Linked DNA regions of Cricetulus griseus. The protein of the gene in region 1 interacts with the protein of each later gene in a biochemical or structural test. Links are inferred from orthologs where the notes say so. Each region holds a gene or a part of one and is shown on either strand. Other genes may lie near its edges.

The links. The genes of interacting proteins can lie anywhere in the genome.
Region 2: the proteins of Zfpm2 (region 1) and Ctbp2 form a complex in vitro, tested with the Homo sapiens proteins (2 studies listed by BioGRID). The link is inferred for Cricetulus griseus from reciprocal best matches to the Homo sapiens genes ZFPM2 and CTBP2.

The regions. Positions count from the first base shown.
Region 1 is NC_048603.1:11,222,685-11,230,855, reverse strand, and holds the end of Zfpm2 (zinc finger protein ZFPM2), read left to right. Parts: coding exon 1-2,512; 3' UTR 2,513-4,507; downstream 4,508-8,171. UniProt on the Homo sapiens protein: Transcription regulator that plays a central role in heart morphogenesis and development of coronary vessels from epicardium, by regulating genes that are essential during cardiogenesis.
Region 2 is NC_048596.1:67,840,347-67,848,517, forward strand, and holds part of Ctbp2 (C-terminal-binding protein 2), read left to right. Parts: coding exon 1-115; intron 116-343; coding exon 344-488; intron 489-4,118; coding exon 4,119-4,325; intron 4,326-8,171. UniProt on the Homo sapiens protein: Corepressor targeting diverse transcription regulators. Functions in brown adipose tissue (BAT) differentiation. Isoform 2 probably acts as a scaffold for specialized synapses.

The DNA of each region.
Region 1 (8,171 bases):
GGAGGAGTTCCTTCCCCCGGGGGCAAGCTTAAAATGCACGGTCTGCAGCTACACGGCTGATTCCGTGATCAACTTCCACCAACACCTCTTCTCCCATCTCAGTCAAGCTGCCTTCCGGTGCAGCCACTGCCATTTTGGCTTCCAGACTCAGAGGGAGTTACTGCAGCACCAGGACCTCCATGTCCCCGGTGGTGGCAAACTTCCCAGAGAAAGCGACATGGAGCACTCTCCAAGTGGAACTGAAGACGGCTTACAGCCAGCCACAGACTTGCTGGCCAGGAGCGACCTCTCCCAGAGCCAAAAGGCCATGCAGACTAAAGATGCGAGCTCAGACACGGAACTGGACAAGTGTGAGAAAAAGACTCAGCTCTTCCTGGGCAGCCAGAGACCAGAGATACAGCCGGCAGCCAACAAACAAAGCTTTTCTTACACAAAAATCAAGTCTGAGCCCTCCAGCCCGAGACTCGCTTCCTCGCCGGTGCAACCCAACATGGGGCCCTCCTTCCCCGTGGGGCCTTTCCTGTCTCAGTTCGCTTTCCCCCAAGATATCACCATGGTCCCTCAGGCTTCAGAGATCTTAGCCAAGATGTCCGAGCTGGTCCACCGGCGACTGAGACACGGGAGTAGTAGCTACCCTCCCGTCATCTACAGCCCTCTGATGCCCAAAGGGGCTACATGCTTTGAGTGTAACATAACATTCAACAACTTGGATAACTACCTAGTTCATAAAAAACACTACTGCAGCAGCCGGTGGCAGCAGATGGCCAAGTCCCCCGACTTTCCGGGGGTTTCGGAAAAGATGCCCGAAGCCGTGAGTCCCAACACTGGCCAGGCTTCCATCAACCTCCTCAACCCAGCCGTTCATTCCTCGGACCCGGAGACGACGCCGCTTCTTCAAACGGCGGCGGCGGCGGCGTGCATCAACTCTTCCACCGTCTTAGACTTGATCGGGCCAAACGGGAAAAGCCACGAGAAGGACTTTTCCGCCCAAGCCAAGAAGCTGTCCACCTCCACCAGCAACGAAGACAAAATGAACGGGAAGCCCGTGGATGTGAAGAATGCCAGCGGCCCCTTAGTGGACGGGGAGGGCGACCCCAATAAGACGACCTGCGAGGCTTGCAACATCACCTTCAGCAGGCACGAAACCTACATGGTCCACAAACAGTATTACTGTGCAACACGCCACGACCCTCCCCTGAAGAGGTCTGCGTCCAGCAAAGTGCCGGCCATGCAGAGAACCATGCGCACCCGCAAGCGAAGGAAGATGTACGAGATGTGCCTGCCCGAGCAGGAGCAAAGGCCGCCCCTGGTCCAGCAGAGGTTCCTGGATGTAGCCAACCTCGGCAACCCCTGTAGCTCCACCCAGGAGCCCAGCGAAGGGCTGGGAGAATGCTACCACCCGAGATGCGACCTCTTCCCGGGAATCGTCTCGAAGCACTTGGAAACCTCGCTGGCCATGAACAAATGCGTCCCGGTGGTCCCCAAGTGTGACACCGCGACCCACCCCAGCGTTTCCTGCCTGGATCAGATGGACGTGCCCATGGATCTCAGCAAAAAGTGTCTCTCGCAGTCTGAGCGGACCACCGCCTCTCCCAAACGGCTGCTCGACTACCACGAGTGCACCGTGTGCAAGATCAGCTTCAACAAGGTGGAGAACTACCTGGCCCACAAGCAGAACTTCTGCCCGGTGACTGCCCATCAGCGCAGCGACCTGAGCCAGCTGGACGGCAAGGCGTTCCCGCATCCAGAGAGCGAGCGCAGCAGCCCCGACGTGGGCTTCGAAAGAAACATGATCAAATGTGAGAAGAACGGGAATCCGAAGCAGCCTTCTCCCAACGGAAACCTCTTCTCCTCCCATTTAGCCACCTTGCAGGGCCTGAAAGTCTTCAGCGAAGCCGCTCAGCTCATCGCCACCAAGGAAGAAAGCAAACACTTGTTTCTTCCCCAATGCCTTTACCCCGGAGCAATAAAGAAGGCGAAAGGAGCCGACCAGCTCTCTCCCTACTACGGCATAAAGCCAGGCGATTACATCCCTGGTTCTCTGGCCCTGCACAACCCCGACGTAGAGCAAAGCACAAACGCAGAAAACGAGTCTCCTAAAGGCCAGGCCTCCTCGAACGGTTGTGCCGCCGTGCCCAAGAAAGACTCTCTGCCACTGTTGCCCAAGAACAGGGGCATGGTCATAGTGAATGGGGGACTAAAGCCAGACGAAAGGCCCACGGCCAACCCACAGCAAGAGAACATTTCGCAGAACGCCCAGCACGACGATGACCACAAATCCCCTTCGTGGATCTCTGAAAACACGTTAGCTGCGAATGAGAACGTCTCCCCAGGAATTCCCTCGGCAGAAGAACAGTTGTCCAGCATAGCAAAAGGCGTGAACGGCTCCGCCCAGGCTCCCAGCAGTGGGAAATACTGCCGGCTATGCGATATCCAGTTCAATAACCTCTCAAACTTTATAACTCACAAGAAGTTCTATTGCTCATCACATGCAGCCGAACATGTCAAATGAACTAACTGAACCTACAAAAAGAAAAGAAAAGAAAGAAAGAAAACAGTCACCTTTGGTACCACTGTTTAGTATGTTCTTCTAAACAGTCCAGAAATAAACAAGGACGCTCTTTGAATTACATCTGGCAATCAGGAGACACCCATTACGGCTGAGTTGAAGACTCACGATGTAATTTCATTACAGACCATTAGTAAAGTGTATTATTGGTGCCATTTTCCAGACAAAAAAATTAATTTATTTTACCAGCAGTATTCATAGCTGTGGTTATGTTATTTTTTATTTAAAAACTTTATATTAAAGTCATTTGTAATGTTACTGTATAGTTATTGTGTAGCATATACGGTTTGCACTGTATAGTAGCTTTTAAAGAAAATAGTCACAAACAATACAGAAAAGCATTTTAGAAATAGCTTCCAAAGCACCTGTGTATCCTGGTTTTTTCTTATATGCTGTTGCAGATATATGTATATGCTAAAATATAACCTGCAAACATGTTCTAAATACACGTGCTGTAAGTTCGCCTTAAGATTTCAATTCTTGGATAATCAGGCTCCATTTGCACTTTATATTTTAGCAAATACAGTCTCTTCGTCACTAGGCTTTGCATTCGTACGTAGCCGTATATTTCTGTCCATTTTCTCAAACTTAAAACATGTATGTTAAATGAAGATGGCATTTTGCTTTCTTGTATAGTACTTGTATTTTCTTTCGCCAATGCAGCCCTGTCTCAGTTTTTAAACCTTTGCTGTTAAATGCAATACTTTATAAAGAATGAACAAAATTACTGGAAGCAGTATTGTAAGTAACGGAGTAGTATTAATCAGTTTTATCTTTTGAGAGGCACAGTCTAAATTGAACCCCTAAACTCGATGCTGCAAGTATGAATTTAATTCATATATAAGATCTATTTAAATATCAGAGTAGCAATACTGCCCCTGGTGATCACAAAGATAATGTTCTACTTCTGATAGAAATAATTTCTCAACAAATGTTGTTACTATGCATGTATATGGATGGAATAAAATTCCAAATTGTTGGAGAAATTGGATGTCCTGGCCTTTTTTCACCCCCATTAAGCACCAAGGAAACAGTATCCAACTCTCATTGTGTCCCACACTAAATAGCAACACTTTATCATCAGTTACATGTTAATTTCTGTTGCCAACTCCCTTTCAAAAAATGGAACTGTGTTTTTCATTGCCTCTGTTGAACCCAGCCATTCTCAGTTACACTCGAGACATACCAACCTAGGATGCCTCTGTTGTGGCTACAGCAGCAGCCATGGCAGTAAACCAAAATTGCAGGCATCCCCTTAACATAGTGGTTCTCTACCTTCCCGGCACTGTGACCCTTTATTACAGTTCCTCGTGGTTGTGGGGAACCCCCAGGCATAACATTATTTTTGTTGCTACCTCATAGCTGTAATTTTCCTACTGTTATCAATCATAATGTAAACATTTGTGTTTTCCAAAGGTCTTGGGTGACCCCTGTGGGAGGGTAGTTTGACGCCAATGGTGGTAACCACTACCTTAGCTTCCGATTTGACAGATTTTAGTATTTTCTAGTGAATTTAAATACTATAGAAAAATCTAAAGAAAAAAATGAACATAAACCATATCTTTTTACCACCATTACTCGGACTACTCAACTAATGCTTACAATCTGAACTGGGTTTAAAAATATCCGACATTTATGTTGAATGTCTTAACTCAAACCAAAAAGCAAACCACTGTAGGAACTGTTAAGAACACTGAATCCCTTTGCGTTTTCCAGCCCTACTAGAAGTCTCAGATTTTTAAGCATCCAAAGTTGCAGAGCTAATGAGAAAGCAGCAGAAACCCCAGGAGTTGTTCTCAATTATGTGTGCATCCACGTCACACTGTAAATGCAGAGGCAAGGGATGCATGGGGCCCACTGTAACGATAAGTCTTTACTCTGTCTGCCCGAGCCCCGCCACCACGTGGGCACCCAGAATAACACACAGAGCCTTATATTAGTTTATAATGCTGCTGGCCAATTGACTAGGATTTCTTATATGCTAGCTCAGTCTTAATTATCATAAATCTATATATTTTATAAGACTTATCTTATAGAGGACACCTTCTGCTGGCATCCTCTTCCCAGGATCACATGGTGGCTTCAGTGGAGAAGACAGCAGGAGGAAGAAGAGAGAGCAAGAGTGCCATTTCCTGCTTATATTCTGAATCTTCTTGCTATGTCACTTCCTGCCTGGATCTCTTACTTCATTTCCCAGAATTCTCCTGACTTCTAGTCCTGCCTATCTTGCTCCACTATTGGCCAACAGTGCTTTATTCAACAACCAATAAGATTAACATATACACAGAAGGACCTCCCCCATCAGTCCACGGTTGATGTCTGATGTGTGACTTAAAGGAAAGCCAACCTTTACCAAAGAGATCATTTCAGCGACATCAGCCTCCTCCAAGCTCTAGAGTGTGACTCTAGATTTCCAGAGTGTGTGATTGATGCCTTCAGAGACCACCAACCTTGGAAGGATAACCACCCTGCCTAGTGGTAACACTCACCCCCATATGCCACACTCGGCTTGTCCTTTGCCACACAATCAAAAGCATCTGACAGCGCACCCTAACATTATCCCCTTAGTGTTCAGTGGAAAGAATACCTCTCACTGTGTACTCACAACGCATAGCTCTCTGGTTCTGTGTGCCCTGAGGGAATCCATGGCTACGGGCTGTGCTGTGCATCCTGTACTAGCTCACAAATAATGAGAAGCATTTTCTCCATTCTAGCCTGAGCTCAATCTCTACATGGGATTGACCACTCGAAGGAGTTCCCCCTACAACCTTATGTTCCCACAGACTCCAGTAAATATTAGGCCATTATTCAATCTACACCTCAACATCAGTGGCATTGACAATCAACCTATTACTTTTGTGTGTTAAATTTATTATCTTTGGGACCAATTCCCTTTTGTTCAGTGAAAAATGCTGAGTGGCATTTCACATGCCCAAAGGGCAAACAAATGAAAACTAGAAAATATGGTCCATGGTGTATTATATCTATGAAAAGAAACATTGCCCTAATAGGAACTGTGAAAACAAAATGACCAAGATCTGTTTATTTCGTAGGTTATTTTTACTATGAATTTATGTAGGGGATGAAAGTCTTGACAGTTCCACACGGCAAGCACCCATTCAGAAAATGCCTTTGTTTCTCAGTAATTACAGTAGTCATGTCCAGGTGGATCTCTATAAGTTCAAGGCCAGCCTGGTCTCCAGAGGAGTGCCAGGACAGGCTCCAAAGCTACACAGAGAAACCCTGTCTCGAAAAACCAAAAAAAGAAAACAAAGAATAGTAGTCATGTCACGAGAATGTAAGGTTGGCTTTCCTACAATAACAGGCAATCTTGTTCCACCACAGTATCAATCTTTATTATTAAAAGCCAAAATTACCTAGAGTTGTTTTTTAGATGATATTATTCCTAGATTCCAGTTTTTATAGACTTGAAATAATCTCATCTTGGATCACTTTGCCATGTAATAAAAAATGTAATACAAGTAATATGTATTTTGAACTTTGTGGATTTAAGAAGTAAATGGCAGCCCCCACTTTCTAATGTCATCATTCATCTTTAACATGATCTTGTAATACTGAACCCTTATGGGACTCATCTTGATAGGATTAATTTTAAATGTTTGCCATTAAAATCAGATACTCATTTTCAGATTTAGTTAAGCCCAGTGGTATTCCGTGGTTTGAAAGAGTCCAACTTCTAATTTCTTGAGTTAGTATTGGCAATTTCTGTGTACTCCTCCAGCTAGATCATCATAAAACTATGTTAAGAAGAAACAAATCTCAGAGAGTGAACTGAACCACAAATTAAATAAGTAGGCGTGGGAAAGCATCTGGAATAACTATAATTTGAACCTCTGTCTACAACTTTTCTTCTCATCACTCCTGAACAACAAAGATGTATTCGATAAATATCTGTGAATGGACTGAGAAATGAATAATCTAAACAGAGAAGAGTTTGCACATGGATATGTAAGTGACTCAAAATAGAAGACTACGTGAATGGTAAGTTGAAGGTTAACCTGACTTAATGAAATTATTGATGGAAAGACACGATGTGTCAGATAGTTTTCAAGAGATTGGCTTTAAATATGATGATAGGCACTTTGGGAAATAAAGCGATCGATGTATGACAGGCTGTTTACTAGGAAAGTCGGGACTTAGTGTAAATTCTTTCAAAAAGAGTTTCATGTAGGAAAATAGTCACAAAAATGTAAGGAAGTATGGGGGAATTGCCCTACATATTGGAGAAACACAGGGGGGGGGATATTTCAGGAAGTCAGTGCCCTGCAGTCTGCTGAAGCTTTTGCTATTACAGCACCCTTTGCAGCAGAGTTTTTCAGGAAGCTGGCAAACCCAACTCCTGCTCCCAGTGCTGAGTCCCAAGAGTCTGGATTACCGTCAACATCCCACTAAAGCCGGAACACGGCAAGCCTATGCTAGTGAGACTAAAGGGCATCCTGGTCCTTCACCTGCCTCAAGGAACATGCTATCTGCTCAGGACCAGGCAATTTTCCATGTCCCAGTTGATGTTACCAGGAAGAATGCCCTCTCCTCCTGTCCTTTATTTTCTCACCCAGTGCCCTCTTTCAACTTACAAGGTATCTGTTTCCGGGGACAGGGGGTCTCTGGAAACTGTAGCCTGAGGAGAACCTAAGGAAAAAAAAAATTGTCTCCCTTAGACCCAAGAGCTTAGCTTGGGTAGTACTGCATTCCCTCACCACAGGCTTCCTTCTTCCGGTGTTACTTTTCCTCAGGTGGAAAAGAACAAGCCAAACAGCTAAGATCACAGCTATTTTGTCCTCTCCGCCATAGCTGCAAACTGAGTTCAAATGTCAATGGAAGTAGAGAAGGCCTCTGGTGCTTCTCCAGATCTTTTGTAACAAATTACCACAAACTTTGTTACTTCAGACAGAAATGTATCCTTTCACAGATTTAGAGGTGAGAAATCCGACACTAAAATGTGGTATGTCTGTGCTTCTTCTGCTGGACTGATGCTTTCAGTGGGCCTTCCAGTTCTCCGGATGCCAACATTCCTTCTCCTATGAGTTGCTCCAAACTGGGTCTCCATGGGCCCAGAGCCTCCTGTTCTGCCTTTGTATTTTTTTCAGGTCCCTGGTGATTGCATTTAATGCCCATGGGGATAATTATTAACCACACAGGCAAAGACTTTTTTTCTTTTTTTTTTTTTTTGCTCTTACTTGACATTTACAAACTCTAGGTGTTAGGTACTGATATTGGGACCTTATTTGGTCTCTACAGGGACACAATGAAACATTCTATTCAATATACAGTTGTAGGTGAAGACATAAGAGAAAAAAAACCTTGTCAGCCAAGTTCTGCAAATGTGTGGCTGTGCAACAGATACTGAGTTAGCCCCCAAATGGTTTAAAGTGATTGAGACATGAATGGTATTAACAGACATAAATGGCGTCCTATCAAGAATCGGGCACCTAAGGCAACGCATCTCAGTTGATGGCTGAGGACCTAGTTGTGGGATATAATTAAGTCTGGTGCCAACCATGCACAAGGCAGTGTATCTATTTGGAACTTAATAAACCTTATTAATTCAGAGAATCATGAAAATCAGACACCCAGCTAAGCA
Region 2 (8,171 bases), on another chromosome or scaffold:
CCCCCTAGTGGCACTGCTCGACGGCAGAGACTGTACCGTGGAAATGCCCATCCTGAAGGATCTGGCCACTGTGGCCTTCTGTGATGCACAGTCTACTCAGGAAATCCATGAAAAGGTGGGTTGCACCCCACCTTACCTGGGCCCCTCCAGGCCAGCTGATGTCAGTAAGCACAGTAGTCACACACAGGAATGCCTAAAGTGTATGGAATTCCCGATGTCCTTAGCCTACTCTGCCACCCTCAGGCACTTACTCCATGTCTCCATCCTATAATTTCTGCTAACAAAGTCTCAGAGCCTTGTGTTCCCAGGGGTTCTGACCTGTGACTCATGTCCCTGCCCACAGGTGTTGAATGAGGCTGTGGGTGCCATGATGTACCACACTATCACCCTCACCAGGGAAGACCTGGAGAAGTTCAAGGCTCTTCGTGTGATCGTGAGAATTGGCAGTGGCTATGACAACGTGGACATCAAGGCTGCTGGTGAGCTCGGTGAGTCGAAAGGCCATGCTGGCTGCCTGGAGGCCACACTCAGTAATGGGCAGAACGCAGAAGGCAGGGCAGTTGTCCTAGGGAGTCTTGTTTCCATTTTCCCATGCACCTTTGCCCAGCCTCAGCTCGAAGCAGGTTCAGGGGCTGGAAGATCTTGAGATAAGCAGTAGATTAGTGAGTTCTTCATTGAGCACACCAAAAGAAGCTGGCCACCACCTGCTGTCCATTCCCAGGGTGCTTCTCAGAGAAAACCACAGGCGGGTAGAAAGCTAAGCAGGAAGGTAGAGTACCTGAGTGGCACAGGGGACTCCTGCCCACACCCCCATGAGAATTGGTGTACACTGGCAGCAGAGCCTGGGGGGGTCAGTGGGGAGTGCCTCAGAGCCACGTATTTTGTCTGAATAAAGTGTGCCGCCTCTTTATTCATGAGCCTCATGCATTTGAAATACCTCAGAATAACTAGAAACCCATGTACCGATGGTGCCACAGCAGCCTGAGCATAGTAATGCTCGTACCATCAGCCTGGGCCTACCACCTGCTGCTGCCTCACCCCAAGGGCTCCTGGAACTAACTCCTAGGACAGCAAAGCCAGGTGTGCGCAGTGCCTCACAGTCATCTCTGCACCGGGCCTAACGCTAGACTCGACAGCTCTGTCTATAACCCAGACACACCCGCCATGCTGGCCACTGAAGCAGCACTGGATCCAACTTCCCTTCACAGTCTGAGCCTGCAGCTTTGAGAGGGGTGGGTGCCTGTTTTTAGTTTTCTGTTTCTTTGCATTTAGAGCAGCAGTTACTATGAGCCTGAACCCCAGGATAAGAAAAGGACAAAGGAAGCTGTGCCGGGTGGCACCAGCCAATGCCCACAGTATGTCTGTGGGGCAACCTCACAGGGGAAGGTAGACATCTCATGTAAAGCAGAATCAGTCCTATTCAGCCCGGGCTTTTGAGAGTCCTGGGTAATCATGGCTTCCTATGTCCCTACCCTAAGCAGCCTTGTTCTTTTCCAGTTACAGCCCCTCTGAGCCCCTCTTTGGCAACAGAAGAAACTTGTTGTGATTGATGTGAGGCCACGTACCTGAGTTTAATTGAGAAAACTACCTGGTGCGGTGTTATACACCTGTTATCCAGGGAGGTCTCTTGAGTTTGAGGCCACCCTGGTCTGCATAGCAAGTTTGAGCCTAGCCTTAGCTACTTAGACCCTGTCTCAGAAAAAGAAAGAAAAGAAAAAAGATGTTTCCCAGACACGAGCAAGTATGCTTGTGTTTAAAAATATGTATCTGAGCCTGAAGGAAGTGGCCACACACCTTTAATCTCAGTACTCTGGGAGGCAGAGGCAGGTAGATCTCTGAGTTCAAGGCCAGCTTGGCCAATGGAGTTAATTCCAGGCCAGGGCTGTTACATAGAGAAACCCTGTCTAGAAAAAAAGCAAACAAAAGACGTGTGTCTGTCAGGAATAGAGATAAATTCCCTGAGTTGGGACTATGCAGGAAGACATTCAGCTTTCTAGCCCATTGTCTCTCACACATAGTTCCTGTTGGTAGTCAGCCCCTCTTCTCCAGTCAGAGTCCAAGAAACAGACTGCCTAGGGCCAGAGCGTTGAAAAGTGTAAAGGGGACACGAAGTGTCACTATTGTGGCCCATTGTGATTGGAGTGGCTATTCAGAAGACTTCTGCTAATGAAATAGATGGTCCTCCAGCAGTGTCTGTCATTTAGCTCTAAGTACATATGGTGCCTATCAAGTCAGCCAGCAGACCCTTTGGAGAGTAGTAAGACGAGTGGCAGGTGTGCCCTGTTCCTGGAAGGGAACACTCCACAGTGGACCTAGCAGGTAGTGATAACTGGGTCTTGTGTGAAGCCCTCTGTATCTATAGGTGCAGCCCTTCAATCTGTTTAATGCAGGGCAGCACTTACCCACAACACCCTAGTTCTCCAGAGATCATGCATAACACAGGTAATGGAACATCCTTGGTCTCTCCTCAGAAGGTTATTCAGCTATTTGGAGCCACTTACAGTGACTCCTTCATTTCCTCATTTAAAACCATGGTCTTTTTCTCGGGACGTCAGAGAACCATATGGGAATTGGCACTTGGAGGTTACCCTGGGGAGAACATATCCACTGAACTCTTTGGCATGTCTACAAGACCCACTTCAATGATCAACGGACAGCTGTCTGCCGTTTCTGGCAAGATGGTTCCTCTTCTTGTCCAATTATTAATTATTCCCAGGCTTGGGTTCCGCCTCTCCACGAGGGTGCTAGAGCCAAGAAGCTACATATCCACATTGTGGTTTTGAGTTGAGCAAACATCCTGCCTTGGTCTCCCTCTTTATATAGAACTCTCACCTTGCCTTTATCATATGGGGGCCTGCCTGCACTGATTGTCATTGGTCAGCTAAGCTATGACATCCCTGAACCACAGCTGGGCACACAGCCGAATCTGATTACCACCCACTGGGCTTTTTCTCAGAGGACTGAAATGCGTCATAACAATATAATAATAGCCCGAGATCCCATGCTGAGTCATTCCAAATGAATGGGGCCCCTGTGTTTTGCAGGATTACTGCTCTTCAACTCATAGGAAAGATAGCTTCCATCATCAAGGTTCCTTAGCAAATTTATCTGTAGCCCAGAGAAGTCCACTGCAGCCAGGCAGAGAGGATGGCCTGCTCATGGTGCCCTCCTTCGCTTTGAGCTGTCTGTTTTATTGGGAGGAGTCACATCACTGGACCCCAGGGCAGTCATGGTAGCAAGAAGAGACAAGAAGAGACATAATACCACAGACCTAAGGTGTTTAAGGGACTATTGATCACCTTCCGTCTAGGTGATCTTCGTATCCCCCAGTCTTGAAAAGCCAACAGAACCCAAGGCTACCTTGAAAGGTAGCTGCACCTTGCTGCCCAGATGGCAACTATCAATCAAGATGGAGCCTTTTGGCCTGAAGAGTGGCAGGGAAAGCTACTACCTTTCCTCAACACCCCCTGCTGAAGGGAAGTTGGTGCCCACACCCCTCCTTCCTGGGGGCTTAGTCCATTCTCTGACAGGTCCACCTCAGGCCTCAGGCCTCCTGCTCTCTGCCAGAATCAGATAAACCATGAGCTTTAGAAACGTGGATAACTCTAAAGTCAAGATCCTCCTGCCTCAGCCTTCAGCGTTTAAGGTTAGAGGTGTGTGTCAGCATGCTTGCCTGGAGCTGTGTGTCAACAGTAATTAGTGACTAGGGTATTGGGGTTTACATTAGGGTGCATAAGGTGGAAACAATCTCTTGCCCATATAGCTCCACAATGAGCCTGGAAAAGAGTCTGGATTTCTGGTCCCTCCACCCTTCCAGGCCTGTCCCGGATAGATCTGGGACTGAAGCACCCACCATCTTTCTGCCTGCTCTGGGGCTCCTTTGGGCCTCAGACCAGGACTGGAAAGAAGGGGAGTTGGGCTGGCTGTGAGCTAAGACTTGAACCTATAAACCATGTTGGATATGTGTGTAGTTAGTGGTGAGTACTTCTGAGACGAAGAGGGCCTACCAAATACTTGACCCAACCCCGGACAGGAAGTAGTAGTTCTCCATTTCTAAGCAGGGTACCTCAGAATCCTGGGACTTTGCTCACCTCTGGGCCTGGCCATTTCCCTTTCAGGGATTGCTGTTTGCAACATCCCATCTGCTGCAGTGGAGGAGACAGCCGATTCCACTGTCTGCCACATCCTCAATCTGTATCGGCGGAACACATGGCTGTACCAGGCCCTACGAGAAGGCACACGGGTTCAGAGCGTGGAACAGATCCGTGAGGTTGCATCGGGAGCTGCCCGGATCCGAGGGGAAACACTGGGCCTCATCGGTTTTGGTATGTGCCTCTTGAGACAGACTTGGTTCAAGGGAGTGGGGGTGGGTAGGTCAAGGGTCAAGAATAATAAGAGAACTTGACCGGTAGTGAGATCTGGGCCTGTTATACAAGAATCTGTCTATGTTGCTGGCCAGTGGTACAGCAGGAGTGCACCCTCTGCTGTCACTGGAAAGGACTGTGCTTGGTAAATCTCCCTGAGGCAGAGGGTAAAAGTTTGGCTGTACAAGGTGTGTTACTACTGGTGAGTGTGTGTAACTAGTGGTGAGCAGCAACCTGGGTCATAGGTCCTGAAGGCTCTTAAATATAGATGCCCCCCTCCCCCCAGCAGTAACATGAAATCACTTAAAGATTCAAGCCTGAGGGTAATGCCAAGCTGTGGGCTTGAAAATCTCTTGTGAGACTAGGACAAGACATAGTCTTTCTGGACTTGGTTGTTGCCATGGAGATATTTGAGCAGAGACCTGGGAGTCTCCAGCAAGTGTGGTAGGGGACCGAGGAAAGTTTAAGCGGTGAAGTGAGATAGACACATGCTACTGCTGTTATCCACACAGACTCCAATAGGACTCCTAGCTGGTTGCGATCACTAACTCACTCCATAACCTTAAGGAATTGTTTGGCTTCTTTGCCTCCATTTCTCGTTCTGTAACTAGAGCATTAGGTGGAAGCAGGGGGATACATGGCTGCTGCCTCTTGACTCTAAGGCAGCATAAGGAACACATGGAAAAGGTTGATTCTGGCTTCCAGAAATTTTTCTGATTCGTATCACCTTTAGCTCAGAGCTGGCTGAGGGTCAGGGCTTCTAAGACAGTTTTAGAAGAGGGAGGATTTACTGGATGACTCCAAGAGTGCTCCTCTTTCTATAGAGCTTCACTCTTCCCCTCCCCCCCCCAACCCCCGACCCCAAGCCTAGGCCTCTGGGGCAGTCAGAGTCTGAGTTCAAGATGCTGGGGAAGGCTCTGTGGTGTTTCACAGGTCTTCAGATATGCAGGTACCATGTGTGAGTACTATAGCACTCTCTGCTAGTACCCTCCTGTGCTTCCTGTGGCCATCCTATGAAGCCCTTCTGTGGCCTGGGATGGTCTCTATCAGGCTGTAGAACCTGTGGGCGGCTCTGAGCCAGCCGGTGAGAAGCCCCTCTCATTCTGGAGTCCCTGTACCCATCACATGTGCTTTTGTAATTGAGTGTTATTTGGCTGAGTGCTGACTTTCAGCTTTCCCAAGCCCTCCCCCTGGCTTCCCTACATTCATGGCTGCTGCAGTCTCCCTGGCTTCCTGTATAGCTCTAATGGTCTATGGCCCCCAGGAACTGTAGTGAAGAGACAGGAGAAAGGATGTTTGCGGCTGCCCAGAGCTGCGGCCAGCCTGCTGAAGAGCAACAAGGGAGGAGGCTCAAAGAAACCTGAAGCTGGGGCTGGACAAAGGTCCCTCACACTGCCTGCCATACTGATAAAAACTGTCTAGATACTTACTTGCCTACTGATGTTTGCTTTTGTTTTTAATTTGGCATACAAGGGTTTAGATACGGCATTGAAAAAAAAAAGGTTTTATTAAAAACTGGAACATTTCACATCATGTCACCTTTATACAGGGGCCACACTTAATGTGTGGTCTGCCAAAGTGAGGGGTTTTTGTCTTTTCTTTTCTTTTTTTCCCGAGACAGGGTTCCTCTGTGGCTTTGGAGGCTGTTCTGGAACTAGCTCTTGTAGACCAAGGTGGTCTCAAACTCACAGAGATTGCCTGCTTCTGCCTCCCGAGTGCTGGGTGGGATTAAAGGCGTGCGCTACCAACACCCAGCGAAGAGGTTTTGTCTTAAACATGGCCTGTGCCTTTGGGTTTTCATCTACAGAGACCACGATGTTGATGGCATTTTAGTCAGAAGTGCTCTGGGTAAGAGTAGAAGGCAGTGAAAACTTGTGTGAATTGATGCAACGCACTCCCATGGAGAATGGCCGAGTCAGCACGGTGTGTTTAGTTCTGGCTTTGGGATCCAGCACCTCTGCCACCTACCGAGGCCCTGGACATATGAAGGCTTCAGATCACAGTATAAAGAAACTGCACACCCAGTTAAGAGAAGAACTCATTTATCAGCTTAGACACGGGTCCTCCAATCCCACCTTTCAAGGATGTCACTGAGCCCTTACTTCCACACTTCCTTCCTCCTTCCACTGTCCAGTCATACTTGCTCCTCTGCCACCCTACCATGGGGTTAGGCTAGCTCCTGGTCAGCCGTGTCCTCAAAGTGACAACAATAAGGGAGATGACATTGACACCGCCGCTGTCAGAGTGGCCTCATTACTCCACAGTTATAGCAAAGAGCACAAAGAGTGAGTGTCTGCTGCTACCAGATGAAGACGTACGCCTTCCCTTCTAACTTTGCTCATTTTCAAAACCATTTATGTGGGTTCTGTATGTAGGTGTCACCTCCCACAGAGTATACTTTGGAGGTCACAGAACAAGCAGGGTTGGTCCTCCTTTCCACCATTTGGGTCATTGTCAGAGTTGACAGCAAGGACCTTCATCCACTGAGCTGTCACACCAACCTTAACCACAGTTTGAACAGGTTTTGTTCCTCTTGTTTTTGAGACAGGTCTCACCATGTAGCCCTGGGTGTTCTGGAATTCACTACGTAGGCCAGGTTGGCCTTGAACTCAGAGATTCACCTGCCTCCGCCTCCCCCTCCCAAGTCCTGGGACTAAAGTCGTGCATCACTACTCCCTGCTTCAACAGAACAGGGTTTTAGATAAGGTATACTTGTAGTTTGCCTATTTGAATTCCAGTCCTGCATAATCCCTCTCAAACCATTTTGTTTTCAAGCTTAAAACCATCATGAGACAGGAAGTGCTGCTGGGATCAGTGGCTTTGAGCAGAGGATAGCCATTGTGGAGTTCTGTCTGCTATCTGACATATTATAATAGGGAGAGTCCGTCAGGCCTTAGGGCAATGGTGTTTTGACCCCCATTAAAGGCAAGTCCAACAGGCATTAGGCTAGAAACATTGATGTTCGCATACTGAGAGAGTGTCAAGAAGTTGGGTACATAAACAAAGATGAGAGAAATAACAGGACCCGGGGCATTATGGTGATGTTTGGACCTGAGGAAAGAGAGTGTGATGTCCTAATTGGGTATCACTTTAAAAATGTCCATGGAAAATAATTATATAAAAGGACCTTTGGGGCTGGAAGGTGGCACATCAGCTAAGGGTGTGTGCTGCTCCTCAGAGGGCCCAAGTTTGGTTCCCAGCACCCACACTGGGGAGGCATTTTCTCAATTGAGGTTGCCTCCCTTCAAGTCCCACAGTCTTTACAAATTCAATCGTATTAACATTTTAGCCCCTTTAAAATAGCTAATCTCTTAAAAATACAAAGTCTTTTAAAATTCAAAGTCTCAAATGTATGCTCTAGTAAAATCAACAAATAAATGCTGACTTATTTCAAGAGGGAAGAATCAGGGCACAGTCACAATCCTATCAGAGCAAAACCAAACTCCACTGTGATTTACTCATGATGTGGGCATCCCTAAGGGGCTTGGGTCACTACTCCAGCTTTGTCCTCTGCAGCACGCACAGCTTGTCTTCTAGGCTATGGCTAGGGTTCCTTGCTGCAACTGGGCTGCACTTTCACCAGTAACCTCTCATAGGCTTTTCTTGTGGTGCCAAGCCTCAACTTCTATGCATGACTTCTTCAGTTCTGGGCCTTTAACTGCCACTGAGGCTGCACCTTCACCAATGTCCTTTCCTGGCCTCTCACAGTGTCGAGTCTCAGCTGCTTTTCATGACCACTTCTTGCCTTCAAAACCAGTACCACCTGTGTGACTTAACACTTAACTACCAAGTTCAGCTGCCAGCATG